2 linked regions of the Danio rerio genome follow. The protein of the gene in region 1 binds, or shares a complex with, the protein of each later gene. Links are inferred from orthologs where the notes say so. Each region holds a gene or a part of one and is shown on either strand. Other genes may lie near its edges. The genes, in order: hnrnpua and ybx1.

Region 1 (8,497 bases):
TCGCTATCACTTCAAAATGGCGGAATCCGGGTCTGTTGCTCTTGGTCATTGTAAGCTCTTTGCATAAAGTTAAATCATAACAGTTACCATGGTTTCTATTTCAAACTATATAGTAAACTAAAGTTTGAAACTATGGTTTAAAATAGAAGATGAGTGGGCCTCGCTACTCCCACCCACCATAACCCTCGCAGCGAGGTCCCACTACCGGCCCCCCGTGTTTCCCTGAGGGTCCTCGGTGGTTGTTTGCTCCCTGCCTAGGGCTCAAAGGCCGCCTCGCCCCAGGGAGTGCACGAGAAGACCGGGCGCCAGGCCGTGCCAGTATTCACTGGATGTTGCTCGGCGGCACATTTCGAGCAACAAACACGTAATGTTCTTCGCGATATTGCGTTTATGTACGCAAACCGCAAGGAACTACAGCACAGACGGGCCCGGGTGAAGCTTCACGAAGCAGACTTTGTGAGATTGGCGTGGCTCCACTCGTACCGTCGGTATTGAACTCACCTTGGTCAAGTACAAACAGCAACATCGGGCGAACTGACAATGCTGACTGAGAGCACACGAGCTTTATAGAAATCCATATACACATTTTTACAAGGCACGTCACTGTTGTCTCGTTGTCATGGCGAGCGCTGAAGAGGGCTCACCTGATTGGAGCACTCAGACTCCGGAATCTGCGTCATGGCAAGTTGCCGTCTGCTGTGGACAAAAATATATTAAATATATATTTTTACATTTTTGGTGCAGTGTAATATTCTGAGATGCAGTAGAATATGGAGACAGATGAATATAATTGGCTATATGCCGAGCTAATGTTGTTCCCATACTTATAAACTTCCGGTGACCGGTTACTGTGAGTTTTTTCCACTTTATACGGTTCCTTTTACAGCATCCATGTTGTAATGTAATTAAAATACATTCAGTTAAATAAACTTTGGCATTCGTTTAGTTGTTCAAGCGTAAAACGAGACAAAATAACTTTTACTCCCTCTCGGCCGTCAGAATCGGCAGGCTAGCGCAGAAGCTCCATTGAATACACTGGGGTAAAATAGTAATTTAATGCAGTGCTTCTTGTACAATCTGAGACCCACTTTATATCGGACTTCACTCAGCCAGTGGATATCGCTGATTTTTAAAGAAAACCGACCCTAAACGTGCTGATTTTTTTAATTTGGCATACAGTTTGCCGGAAGCGCTTAACCCAGGTTACTGGCAAATTAAAAGTCCTATTAGCATGCTTCAGCATATACCCCAATATCCCAGCCTCTGTCCATCATGGCCTCCCAACCCTCCCCATATCATAATTGACTTTATCACGCTGTCTTCTCTCTCTGTGGTGTGCGGTCTGGTGCAAAATGGCTGCTGTCGCGTCATACAGGTGGATGCTACACTGATGAGGAGATTGCTACCCAATAAATATCAAACTAGCTAAATTTAATAACAATATTTCACCTAAATGCTCATTTTGTACTCAATATGATGAAACACTAAACCATTTATTTTGGGAGTGTACTTACTGTGAAGTGTTTTGGGTTGACTTTTCCAATTTCATAAACAAATTCTTATTTCCAAACTTCTGTATTTCCTCAAAAATTGTATTCTTTGGTTACTCTCTGAGTGTAGATCCTTCTCAGTGTAAATTTATTATTGATTTATTGCTTTATTGCTAAATTTTATATCCATAAATGTGAATTTTCAAAGAAACACCCTTACTTTTTTATTTTCAGAAAGGACTTTGAAATTTATGTGAACTCTTTAAAAGACTCTAACAATTGCACTGGATGTAAAACGCTTTCTTGGTGTAAATCATTTAAACTTGTTTAATTAGCTGGATTTCTATTTATGTAACCCTCTTTGTCTCTTTGTTCATATTATATCTTTGTAATGTTCTTTCTTACATTTAAAAAAAAAGTGGATGAGGAGATTCCCTCTATGTGTAATGCGCTTTGAGTGCCAAGAAAATATATTTCATGTGACCAGAGGAATAAGGCAAGGATGTAGAAGCTTTCCTCAAATTATGTATATTGGCTGCAGAACTATTAGCAATTCTTGTTAAAAATGACAATATTGCAGGCATTCATTTTATGGAACACAATAATTAGTCAACTAGCTGATGATACAACTCTTTTTTTTATTTTGAATATTATATTTTTATTTTGACTTCAAAGCAACACAAAGCAATACAAAAGGCAACAACAATTATAAAGACAGAAAATAAACTCAACAAAAAAAAAGACAGAACAAAAAAAAGGTTTTAAAACAATTATTACATCAGTTCCTCCAATATTATACATGGGTCAACAATGTTACACATATAGCCAGTGGGGTGGGCACAGGCAATATGGTGATCTTGCAGACGATGACAGGGTAATACCTTTAAACTGTTATTCTTGGCATTTGTCAGATAGTTAAAAAGGGTTTCCAGGTGGCTTCGAAGCCAGCAATGTTTTCAGAAAAATTGTGTCTAATTCTCTCTAAATGTAAAGTGGCAGAAAATTCTGAAAGCCAGGATTTAAGGATTTAAAGTGGTTTTGATGCCTTTTTCATAAACAAAGAATAATGTTTTTTAGCTATATATCACCATTCTATATTGGACAGCTTTTTTAATTTGATGACTGAACCTACAAATTGAGTCAGATAAACCTAAACAGTGATTGCTGGATCAGGGGCAAGGTCATAAGAACAAGCCCCAGAGTAGAATCTGAACATTTTGCTCCAAATCTCAAAAGGTTTTGGCCATGACCAAAAAATATGTCCTATGAAGCCTTCAGCTTCACATTTATTACATTTACAGGAGATAGAGGACTAGAATTTATTAAGCTTAACCCTATAGAATAATGAAGCCAATGCACACTTTTATATTGGATTAGGTGTCTTGAGTTAATAGAACATGTCAAGAGTTTAGATGCAAAAAACATCTGAAATTTCCATAGAAAATTTACTTTTTTCTCAGCATCCTTTGTTTATGTTGAGATATTTTACTTTAAAGCCCAGGAAAAGGACTTAATCTTTGCCATTTAAGTGATATGAATACACATAAAAAATACTCCTTTTAGGGAAATGTTTCAAAAGGCATTTAGAGGTTTTTGCATCTTCACACTCTTATGTATTTATTATGACCTTGATAGACTTTTTCCAGTCCCCATTGGTAATTATAATCTGTAAATCTTTCAAGAATCTTTCAAATACAAAGTAGATATGTCAAACTGATTATTACAAACGGCTATAAAATGGGAAATCAAAATAGAGGCATCAGGAGAGGCAGAAATTAATTTATATACATCATGTTCATCTGCTCATCAAGTGGCCAAATTCTGGCTTTCTGAGGAAAGTGAAATGAGATGGTGAGTTTTTTTTTTCTGCTACACTTTTTAGTTTAAAACAAGTTTGACCATATATTTTTAAAATGATGGATGATAAAAAATTTGTATTTAAAAATAAGTATGTTTTTATTTTTCTTTATTAATTTTTTATTTGAATAAAACTCATAGCATTATTTATATAACTGTAGTAAATTAAAGTTTAAATGCAAATTCTTTGTAATAAAGCAGTATAAGCACTCTAGAAAATATTTTTAGTACGTCAAAAAGATTCGGCGAAGATTAGTAATTAAAATGTCACTACAATGCATTATTTAAACCTCATAATTGAATAGAAAATGAGGTGAATAACTGCAGAAAAGGTCCACTTTTTCAGAAAAAAGAGCCACCCTATCTAAAGGACTGTAAAATATCTAATTAAATTCCATGTTTAAAAACAGAACAAAAAATGCCTTAAGTTTTAAACAAAAAAGCCACACAGACAATACAATTTCTAAAAATTGTAAAACTACGTCTATTATCTTAAATCAATATCGATATTTACGGTAGTCTCATACGCGCTCGGCTATAACGTGCTTTACGGTAGATTATATAAAGCTGAGCTGGCCTTGTTCCGCTTCGACTGCTGCCTACAGTGACCGCACCGCGCGTTAACGGACAGTCCGCTCACAACAACCTGCCCTTTCCGTTCATATTTTCCGTTCATAATTGCTCAAATACACAAGTCTGAAGACGACGGTCACAATGAGCGCTATAAACGTGAAGAAGCTGAAAGTGAACGAGCTGAAGGACGAGCTAAAGAAAAGGAGTCTGTCTGATAAAGGGCTGAAGGCGGATCTTATGTCGCGCCTGCAGGCCGCACTAGACGAGGAGGCGCTCTCTGGTACTAACGGCTCCGAGCGTCGGTACGAGGACGGAGGAGACCCCGCCGGCAAAGACCTGGAGGAGGACCCGGTGGGAGAGAGCATGGAGGAGGAAGAAGAGGATGGAGGAAACGCGGAGGCCGAGCATGATGATATTATGGAGGAGGAAGAGGAGGACGCCGGGGTAGAGATGGATAAATCGGATGAAGACGCTCTTCTTAAAGATGATGATGGTGATGATGATGAAGATGAAGAGATGGAGAAATTCGATGAGGATGATGTGGCTCTTGACAAGGGTGAGATTATACGATGAAGATCGAGTAATTCATAGTTACTTTGTGTATAATTGGGCTAAAATAATTCATACTGTCAGCAGAACGCGTATACTGGGGTTTGTTATGGGCTCATTGCTGCTGTCCCATTTGTTTCTCCTTGAGTTACTGCTACAGTTTCAGGTTATATGATTTACAGCAATAGGCTTTACTTTGCTAAGTATGTAAGTATTTTATTTTATTCTAATCTAATATAGCTAAATGTTATACATAATTATATTAATTATAATAACATGCATAATATAATACAATGTATTTCTTTTTATTTCAAATATTTATTTCTAATAAAATATAAACTTATATTTTTACGTAATTTAATTATTTTCTTATTCCTATTTCCTTTATTTAGTGTTTTATAATTTTATTGATTATCCAATAGTTTTTCAATATATATATTTTTATGGTGAATGCAACATCTTCTTTACATTGTGCTACATATGTCAAACCTTAATGTAATACATATTTCATTAACCTAATTAAAGTATGAGAAATATCTGCAAATTAAATGCAAGAAATAATGAAAAAAATCCATTGTTATTTTTTTTTATTAAAAATGTACATTTTGATTTATTCATTTTATTTAATTGATCCCTTATAATGTCTTTGCACCAGTACACAGTTGAAGTCATAATTATTAGCTCCCCTGTTTATTTTTTCCCCAATTTCTTTTTAACGGAAAAGAAGCAGATTTTTTCAAAACATTTCTAACCATAATAGTTTTAATAACTCATTTGTAATAACTGATTTATTTTATTATTGTCATGATGACAGTAAATAATATTTTACTTAAGAATTTTCAAGATACTAGTATTCAGCTTAAAATGATATTCAAAGGCTTAACTAGATTAATTATTAACTAGGCAGGTAAGGGTTATTAGGCAAGTTATTGTATAATGATGGTTTGTTCTGTAGACTATTGGAAAATATGTTGCTTAAAGGGGCTAAAAACTCAAACACTATATATTTCATGTTTATTGACTACATGTTTTTAGTGGAAGTTAAACTTTTTCAGGTCCATAGATGCCCTACAGTATTGAGGAGCACCTCATGGTATTCTTTGTTGTCATTTGGCAGATGCTTCTACCCCCTTTGTGCTAAAGGGGGGTTAGTGGCTTTAGCCTACATCTGTGACCATCAAACAGGCCTTATGATGCTATTTTAATTTATTATTTAATTTAAAATAATGCTTTAATTTTCAAAAAAATGTATATTATTTTCCACTTTCTCTGCATTGCTGCAGCTCTGATTGAGTTTTGGTTTCAACCAAGCCCCTTTCTCTGGATAGCCAATATCTCTGATTGGCCATCTGATTCAGTCAGTGCTCTGTGACACCTCATTCATTTGTATACTATAGTCATGAACATTAGAAAAGCATTTTAAAGCATCATATGGCCTTGTCAAGTCTCGCCACTCTTTTAATTATTGTCTTAAGACATTAAAGTCATGTAGGACAACAAATCAACGTAGTGACATACTGTTGAGTGGTATCGTCATTTCATTTGCGATACGAGTACAAGTATTTTAACAAAGCATTGACCCGATACTGGTTTCAGTATCGGTGCATCGCTAATTTTTATGTCACAACATTTGCAGTTCTTCAAGATGCATGCAATTTGAATATGTAAATGTGTGTTACTCAGCTCAAAATTGCACAGTTTGCAGTTGTCTTGGCATCAACCTTCTGTCTGTACTCATACAATCCCGCAGTGTACAATACCCGCACTGTCTGACGTCGCTCCTTGAGCATAAATTTTCTTTTAAAGCACTGCTCATTGCAATTCATGCATACCCTAAACAAGAGTATAAATCCTCCAGTAATTCTGTGGACCATCATGTTACATCATGCCTGGTCCAGCAGGGAGGTACTCTTCCTTACGCTTTATTGTTTGTTTTCCAAAGGGGATGCGGACAAAGACAAGAAAGATGAACAGAAGAATAAGAAGGGTGTAAAGAGACGCCGAGATGAACATGGAAGGGCCTACTTTGAATTTATTGAAGAAAGAAAATACAGCCGGTAAGAATTGTGCAGTCGGGCTGCTGGTACTCCTGAGGTTCCGCTGCACCTGAAAGATTTATGAGCAGTTCTGGCAGTAAAGAGCCAGATCTGACATCAGTGCAAAGAAACACACATTTTTACTGACCATTTGAAATAATTTTGAGCTTATAATAATATTAAGGGCATCTCTTTCACCTCAGTGCTCGGGCTGTTAAAGAATGAAATCAATGTGTTTTGGTGGAAGTTATATTGTATGGGTTATTGTTTTTATCAGATATTATGTTTAAATCGTATATTCTTCTTTTGTGTTATTATTATTGTTTATGTTGTGTTTAATTAATATATGTATTTGTTTATGTATTGGTGATATGCTAATTTGTCTTTTTTCTTTTTCCAGGTAATGCATTCACAACCACTAAACATTTTTATACTCTTAAAATGTAAATGTTAAACAATGATGAAATCAAAATGGTTATATTTAAATATGTATATTAATGCTGCACAATATATTGTTTCAACATCAACATTGCGATGTGCGAATCTGCAATAGTCACATCACAGGATCCGCAATGTCATATTGGGATTATAAGTAACCAGAAAACACGTCTCGTATCATGCGATTTGTGAAGTCGTTGCAAAAGACTTTTATTATTTTCTGTCTTTGTTTTAAAGGAATGTGACTAAGATTTCAGGAGAATTTGAAGCATTTAGGCACAAGTTTGTCGCTTTAATGGAGATGAATTGTGTTTAATTACTTAATACAGTAGAATAAAAACTGTGCAGTCTTAATTTACTTTTGATCATTAAATTTTTTAACTTCAATACTGTTAAACTGTCCAACCAAAAACCATTAACTGCACCCGCAGCTGTTTTTCAGTCATTTAAAACCCTCATGTCCCAGTCAGATCTCCAATTATGTGATGTTCACATTTATCTTGTGGATATTTCTCAGTAGTTTAGTCATTGTTGACACTGTTATTTTGTTTAACTAAGTGTCTGCTTTATATATATATATATATATATATATATATATATATATATATATATATATATATATATATATATATATATATATATATAATTTTTATTATTGTTTTTTGGATAAGATTAATATTTGTGTATAGGGAAAATCTATTCATTCATTTCTGCTTTTTATACTTTGACTATTTTGTACTCTATTTTTTTATTTATTTATTTATTTTTCATATAGTCATTTTAGAAAAAGATTTTCATATTACAATGTATACAGTATTGCAGGAAAACTAAACTAAATATTTTTCCCAATATTGTGCAGCCCTAATATATATTTTAAAAACTTATTATTCACTTAAATATATTATATTTTTTTTATTATTATTTATTGTTTATAGATTTTATATATTTTTAAATATTTTATTTTAATATATAATACAATTTTTAAAAATACCAACACAATATCAATGTTTTAACTTCTGATAAGTAAAAACCCTTTGACAATTTTTGAGAAATCCAGAGAAAATTATCTTTAAAATGCCTTTATAAAAAAAAAATTACAATAATAAAAAAAAATGGCTGTGATGCGCGCGCGCACACACACACACACACACACACACACACACACACACACAAATAAATGGACTTCAGATGCAAAAAATCTGACAGACTTTTGCATCTGAAGGCTAAGTGTATTTCACTTGATTACAAAATAGTAAATCAGCTAAATTATTTTCCTTTCTCTCAGGGCAAAGTCTCCTCAGCCCCCTCTGGAGGAAGAAGATGAAGAGTTTGATGACACAACCGTGTGTTTGGACACCTGTGAGTATGAAGATCTTACTTAAAAACAACTCGCAATATGTTTTTGATGCAAAATACTGGTGATATGGTAAAGCCTGCAGGTCACAACATCGTTTCTGCTGAATGTGCAGTCAGTCTGTAGCTTGTAATAAATACAGTCTCGTCTTTTCTCTTCAGACAACTGTGACCTGCACTTCAAGGTGTCTCGTGATCGCT
Region 2 (7,366 bases), on another chromosome or scaffold:
GAGTCATTCTGTCACGTAAACAACGAACGATCATGGCTCCTATCGGCTTAGACAGTGCATTGGTTAAGATTATATGTGACTGTCAGTGTAACGTGAATGAACCCCTGAAATTTGAAGAGATGAAGAGGTGAGCTGAGCAAAGAGACAACAATACCTTCATAGACAGAAGAGCAGACAACATTGAATTATTATTTTCTCCTTATTATATTCTACTTTTGACTTATTTGTCATGCAGTCAACCTTTTGGGCTTGTTGTAGATGTGTTTGGAAGCAATTCGTAACATTTTAATAATATTTTGGCAAATTGAACCAAATGAACCAAATGACTCGAAAAAAGATTCGTTCATCTTGATAATCAAGACTCAAAGATCCGAGTCAGTAAAATGATCCGAACTTCCCATCGCTATTTGTCAGTCTCCTAATCAGTGAAATAAATGACCAAAGTACCAAATAATACCTGCCATGAGTATAACCGCATTCACCATCGGGAGGCGCTGTAATCACTCTTAAAGGAGAACTTTGCTTTTACAATCCACAATAAATAATCCTACATGTGCACCCCATCCGCTACACGAGTGGCCGTTAAGTGCGTGAAGTGTCCAACCTGATGCACTTAATTTTACCGGTTGAACGAGTGCATCATCCGGGTAATTAAAGTGCACTTATTATTTTTTATGAGTTTTCAGCATGAATGCACTACACCAGTGGTTCTCAAACTGTGGTACACTGTACTAGTGGTACACAGGCTTCCTTCTAGTGGTACGTGGAGGAATGAAATATGTCATGTACATGCTACACACATTTAAAAATTTATCAAAAATGATGTAAATAATATGCCATATAGCCTATAGTTCTGAGGTAATCAGCCACGTTTTTTTTAACCTTGCAGAGATGTAGCTGCTTTACTGGGCCTTCTACGCTATTGTATTTCAATACTGCTCATTTTGGTGGTACTTGGAGAGACAATTTTTTTCTGAGGTGGTACTTGATAAAAAAAAGTTTGAGAACCACTGCACTACACTATTTAGACAACAAAATTGTGTAGAATAGTGCATAAGTATGCAATTTAAGACGCACCTTTAGTCTTGACGTCATTTGTAATGTAGACTAAGCAGACCGCTATAATGGGAGAAACATTTTTCAAAGCTTCAACAATTGAACCTCGCAAAATTATTCAAATGATTTGAAGCATTGGAAATGTCACAAAGCTGTAAATGCAACAACCGCTCTGGAAAAGCACGCATTATAATTGACTTTTTTAACTCAAATGTTTTATTAAATCTTAAGTTTCTTGTTACTCTTGAAACCCTAATTATTTTATTCTATTGTGTAATACTAATACTGTTATTAGTTCAGTTGTTTTTCCCCCACTCAGAAATGACTTTTGCTGCTAGTTCCAACTACTTATTTAAAATGAGTTGAAGAAACATTTCTTAAGGTTTTTGGGACAACTAAATTGTTTTATGTTCAGGCCTATTAATTGTGTAAAAACAATTACGTAAAATAATTGGTTTGTGTTGAGACAACATGAAAGAATTGTGTGGAACCCATAATTGTTTGGTGTATGTGTAAATTCTTAAGCATAGAAATTGGAATATTGGTGTGTGCTTTTTAATGTGGCAAGGACAATAATTAAGGGGTGTTTACTTTAAGATGGTGATCGGACGTCTTTATCTGAAATTTAAGTTAGGGCTGGGTCGATAAAAGATATTATATTGAAACGTGATAAAATTGTCAATGATTTTTACTCTATATTGATCCAAGGGCAGAAATGTACAACAATGGGAATCTTAAAGTGTGTTGATAATAGAGATGTTCTGAATTTTCGGCCACTGAAATGTTATGCCATTTAATGGCCCCTCTAATTTTTGTAGCTTCAGTCATTTTTGGGATACTCTTAAATTTGGAAGCAACAACTACTGATATCGAAATATATCGTTGTCGTTTAAGATGGAAAATAATTATTGAGTGTGCATTTTTGCCCTATGTAGCATGGATTGGATGCGCACTCCAGAATCTAGACAGATATAGTAGGTGATCCAGGTACTTCTCGCATACTGTTTTTTTTTCCGAATTCGGACATGCTACACAGCTAGCATACTGTGTTTTTAGCGTACTATATAATACGTATGCATACAATTTGAAACGCAGCACAGATGTTTTGCGAACTCTAAATGTCTCTTCTGGAAAACAGGTTGAATCGCACATTTGCAAAATGATCTCAGATCAAATTTAGAACGATTTCTTCACATTATATAAACAAGACCCATAGTTTAGAGAAAGGACAAAACTGGTTCAGATTCACCACTGGGGGGCCATCTGTGGGAATCATGCTAATTTTATGGTACTCCTCAGATCACCACAAGCTAAAAGCCACAGAATTATCAAAACTAAAAAGGTGTTAATTTGATATGCCCATCCAAACAAAAGATTTGTAAATAATTCAAAGCTTCATGTAGCACTACCCCCACCCTGCAAATACCACTTTAGTGTGTCACGGTAACAAATAGGATATGATGACATCCTGTGACTCAGTGTTCCCACAGAAACTCCCACAATGCTTTGGACTGAAGATTCAAATGTTTGTTGTATGACTGTTGTAGGTTGGTGTTATGGAGAGCGCATGAGAGATGGGGAGAGAGGCTGGTTTCCTGCTAGTTGTGCCACTCAGATCACCAACCGCACCGCCATGGAGAACAACATCCAGCGTATGGAGAGACTCCGCAAAGAGACCAACGTGTGAACCGAACCCCAGCCGCAGGACACTGTTTGTAGAGATGATTTTTAGACTAGTGTGAATCAGGAACTGTTAACAAACACCACTCGTACGAGATTAATGTTTCTGGTTTTTATTTCAGCTTGCCTTTTGTTAAAATTCATGTTTGGATACATAAAAAGTTATTTAAAAATGTCAAACTGACCAGATATCAAATTACATTTAAAAACCATTTGGTGTAAAAACTTAAGACCGATTTAGAAAAACATCTGCTGTTTCCCCAAAAGTTTTAGCTGTCACAAAAATAATGGAAAAACAAAACAAACAAAAAAAAAAGTCTGCATAGAGTCTGCAGGCAATCGGTGGTAATCTGGTCGAAATGCATTTTTGCAAGCTTAGACGATCGAAGTCATATCTGTTTCTTATTGCTCAGATGTTGGATGTTTCTTCTTGACAAAACTGTGAAAGCAAACACACACACAAAACACTAAGTCAGTATGCTTGAAGCAACTCATCAGTTACAAGCACTAAAATGTGTGTGAAAGGACAAAGCAGACAGTCTGCTAAATCAAATCCATTCCATCATCCAACCTTCCATCAATGAAAAGTGCGAGCTAAAGCTAAAACATCATCCATTATCTAGAGTTACGTCTAAAAGGAGCTAATAAGGCATTAAATCAGTCCACCAGCACAACTTTCATGACATTTAAGCACAAATCACATGAAAATGACTGCACATTTTACAATCCGCTTGGCTAAGGTTGTATTTAAAACATTTTCCACAAGAACTTCTGCTTAATTGTCATGAAATAACACCAAACATCATTCTGCTTCAAATATTCTTTATTTCCTTTAGGCAACAACAAAACATTTATTAAGCAAAATGTGCCTTTCAGATCTTTCATGAGACTCTGTCAACAAAAACAATTATAGAAAAAACGAAACAAAAGAATGCTACTGTACAAATTGCAACACACTTGAAGATCAAGTATGTTAAAGTACATGCAGTACTAGCTGAAATGAAACGGCGTCACCCACCCGGCCGGATGGTCTGGATGTTTAAGCCGGTGGCGGTTTAATCTGCTCCGCCCTGTTCGGCTTCGGGAGCGGCTGATTTGTCGGCTGATGCGTCGGCTGCCTTGCTGTCCTTGCCGTCCTGAGGCTTGGTTGTCTGGGGGCGTCTGCGGCGGTAGTTGAAGTTGCGACGGTAGCGGCGCTGACGGGGCTCCTGGTTCTGTCCGCTCTCGCTCTGGTTCTCCTTATCCTCCTCTCCGTCCCGCACTGGCCGGGGACGTGAGGGACCCCTGCTGGAACACAGATGATGAAGTGTCCATCAGATTCCCAGTATCAGTTTCTAAGGCAGTGTGTTTCTTAACCACAATCCTGGAGGACCACCAGCTCTGCACATTTTTCATGTCTCCGTAACCAAACACACCTGATTTAGATCATCAGCTCATTATTAAAAACTGAAAGACCTGAAATGGGTTTGACAGACAAAGGAGATTTCCAAAACATGCAGTGCTGGTGGTCCTCCGGGACTATGGTTGGGAAACACTGATGCTCAAACTACTTTACAGTTCTAACCAAATGTAAGAGCACAAACGGGATGGGACAGCTATTGGTTTTATAGTAACACTTTACAAAACAGGATCCTGTACATGTTTGTAAATACATTAATGAATGTTTAGTTTATTAGTTAAAGTATGTGCTTGTTAAATGAAAATATAGATGTTAACTTTAAGTGGAGTAATGTTACAAGAACAGTTCTGGATTTTTAGTTGTGTCCATAAATACATTATTAGTTCATGATACTAAATACACAGTCTTTCACAACGGGAAGTCTATTTAAAGAGCAATAGAAGTTAGTTTAACTAATAATTTGAAAGATCATTCGAAGAAATGTTCATGCCAAATGTTCAAAGCATTAGAAAGAATGCAGTTTACCATTGCAATTTCCTAATACTAAAAGCAACATATGAGGTAACTTTTAATTCATTTCTCACACACAAAAAAAAAGGGTGCGGTTAATTAGTAAAACATTTAAAAAGCAAAATGCTCCAGACTTGCACTTATTCGGTGTATCTTGCAGTATTATGGTTTAGCTTTATTCTTCCTAAGCTCGACTGTGCAGGATGGACATAATGAGGTTTGATTTGTGAGATTTAAAAAAAAAAAAAAAAAAAAGGGTTCACACAAAAACAAATACCGTTTTCATTTACTGAAACTGAACCTTTACAGTGTTTGACCGCACTGTAGAAAGCTAAAAACAGTTCTTGGTGCATGTGCGACTCTAGTCAGTCATCAAAATACAAAAACTGCATCACTTGTTTGAATGAGTGCCTTTGCACTTTCATAAATCAAGATCAAAAATGACAAATCAAATCATAAAGACTAGTCACACTTGCACAGAGATATTGATTGACTCTTTTGTATGCTTTTATTTTTATTCTAGAAAACCCAGAACCATTTACTGCTCTAATATAAAATCCCCAAAGACCACAGATTTAGCTAAAAAGGAGAAGAAAAATTAAGTCATCTACATCTTAGACGTAGGCCTGTCACAATATCTATTTTTTTGTTAAACAACATTTTGAACCAAAATGTATAGTGATAAACAATATTATTGTCATTTTAAAAGCCTTTTATTAAATAATGCCAGAATGACAATATATTAACCACAAAACAAATACACTTCCAAAGAACACAATTTATTCTTAAGATTGTTTAATTGCCATTTTAACTATTTAATAATCAGGCACTGGAATCAAAAAGTGTGAAACGCATATTGTAAACAATAAAATGTTAACAAAAAATTTAAATAGAATAAAAGTGCAAGGTAATAAGTAACAAAGTCTGTGATATGTTAGCAGATCTATTTTCAGCTGTCAGTCATCCACATAAAAATATACTCTAGGAATTACTACAATGTTTAGAACCATAAAGAGGCTGCTCAGTTAAAACGTTGCTAGAACTGATTATGTATGGGCGATATATACTGCATCACCAAAAATGATCGAGGTCAAGTCCATGTGTTGTGCAGTAAGTCTATATATTGATCGTGACAGGCCTACTTCAATGACCCAAGAGTAATTTATCAGGAAACTTGTAATTTGGGGTGGATCATTCTATTAAAAAAATAAATAAATAGAATTGCTAAATTAATACTTAATTAAAACAATAGAAAAAGAAAACTTAAATAATGAAAATCATGAATATCTGAAAGATCTCCAAAGTCCAGCAGCAGTATTGTTCCTCTTATGACATACAAACCTTGGTCGGAAGCCTCTGTAGTAGTTCTGCCTCATTGGTTTGTTGCCCTGGTCTGGACCCCCTTGGTTCTCTTCACCTTCACCACCCTAAAATTCAAGAAAAGCATCCATCAGTCAAAAAAGCAGCTTCCAATTTAATTTACTGACTGATGCTCAGGCATCACCAAAAGCATACCTCTGTCATCTCTCCTCTTTGTGAGTTGGTGTAGGGGGGGCGTCTGCCGTAACGCCTCCGCACGAAGTATGGTGGGTAGCGCCGTCTGCCGGGGTAAGTGGGTCTGCGCTGCTGCTGCTGCATCTCCCCCTCGGGGGCGCTCTCTGCCCCCTCTCTCTTCTCCCGGGGCTCTGCCTCAGGGTCGCTCTGATAGTTCTCCTGGTAGTCGCGAGGTGGGGCCCTCCTGCGTGGGTACCGCCTGTAACGGTTCCTGTCAGCTGCATACTTACTACCCTGCACAGGAACGCCACCCGGGCCGGTAACATTTGCTGCCTCAGCCCCCTGACAGAATGAAGACAATGCAGATCAAGTGTCCGCTAATTTAATAGATGGGCTGTTGCTTTAGATAATGGATGCAGAATTTTCCAGTAAGTCATTCAGAGTCTGGCCAGAAATATGATGCTTAATCAATATCGGCTTCAAAGCATTTTTATTTAGGATACGCAGAGAATTATTTTAGTAGTTCTGATGACATAACCTCTCTGATTTTGAATTTCAGCTTATCATTTTTATTAATGGCTTTGTTAGTTTTAGTTTGGCTTTTAATTTGCTGTCAACATTTTCATTTTGTTCTTACACATTTAGTTTCAGTTTTGGCAATTCTCACACACCTAGAGTTAAGCAAATGTTTTCACCGCTTTTTTTTTTTTTTTGGACTTGAACAGAAACACCATATAAATTCAACTTAAAAAAATTAGCAAAATCATAAACTGTTGTTTGGCATGAAAGTGAGAAACATCATATTAAAAGTATCAACATGTATAGTTAACAAATTTTGGCAGATAACAAAAACTGATACGTTTTAGTTTTTTGGTACATCATGCACTTGACAACCAACAGGTATCACCAAACATGAAGACCTCATCGCCACCAAGTCTGAACCAATAACATTGGCGACATTAAATAGATTCACTAAATATTGACTGTAAGAAACTAGTCCTAAACTAAAACATCATTCATATACTTTAACAATGTTAATCCAGAAGATGTCACCTATAGAACAGTGTGCTGCCTTCATTACTGCAGTAAACAAAGCAGTGTGACATCAAATACAGCAGGACTATCAACTTCATAAACTACACAGCATCACAACATTTAAAACTTTAGTATACAACTATAATCAAACAACCCTATACTCAAACATGATGCAAAAGTTAAATTGAAACA

What was found.
Region 2: hnrnpua (region 1) and ybx1 share a complex: the UniProt entries of both Homo sapiens proteins name them as parts of the coding region determinant (CRD)-mediated complex. The link is inferred for Danio rerio from reciprocal best matches to the Homo sapiens genes HNRNPU and YBX1.

The regions. Positions count from the first base shown.
Region 1 is NC_133192.1:12,688,394-12,696,890, reverse strand, and holds the start of hnrnpua (heterogeneous nuclear ribonucleoprotein U), read left to right. Parts: upstream 1-3,937; 5' UTR 3,938-4,061; coding exon 4,062-4,476; intron 4,477-6,411; coding exon 6,412-6,526; intron 6,527-8,228; coding exon 8,229-8,302; intron 8,303-8,458; coding exon 8,459-8,497. UniProt on the Homo sapiens protein: DNA- and RNA-binding protein involved in several cellular processes such as nuclear chromatin organization, telomere-length regulation, transcription, mRNA alternative splicing and stability, Xist-mediated transcriptional silencing and mitotic cell progression.
Region 2 is NC_133183.1:56,868,974-56,876,339, forward strand, and holds the end of ybx1 (Y-box-binding protein 1), read right to left. Parts: intron 6,482-7,366; coding exon 6,161-6,481; intron 6,073-6,160; coding exon 5,987-6,072; intron 4,024-5,986; coding exon of another isoform or gene 4,021-4,023; coding exon 3,792-4,020; 3' UTR 3,755-3,791; intron 3,176-3,754; 3' UTR 2,834-3,175; downstream 1-2,833. UniProt on the Homo sapiens protein: DNA- and RNA-binding protein involved in various processes, such as translational repression, RNA stabilization, mRNA splicing, DNA repair and transcription regulation.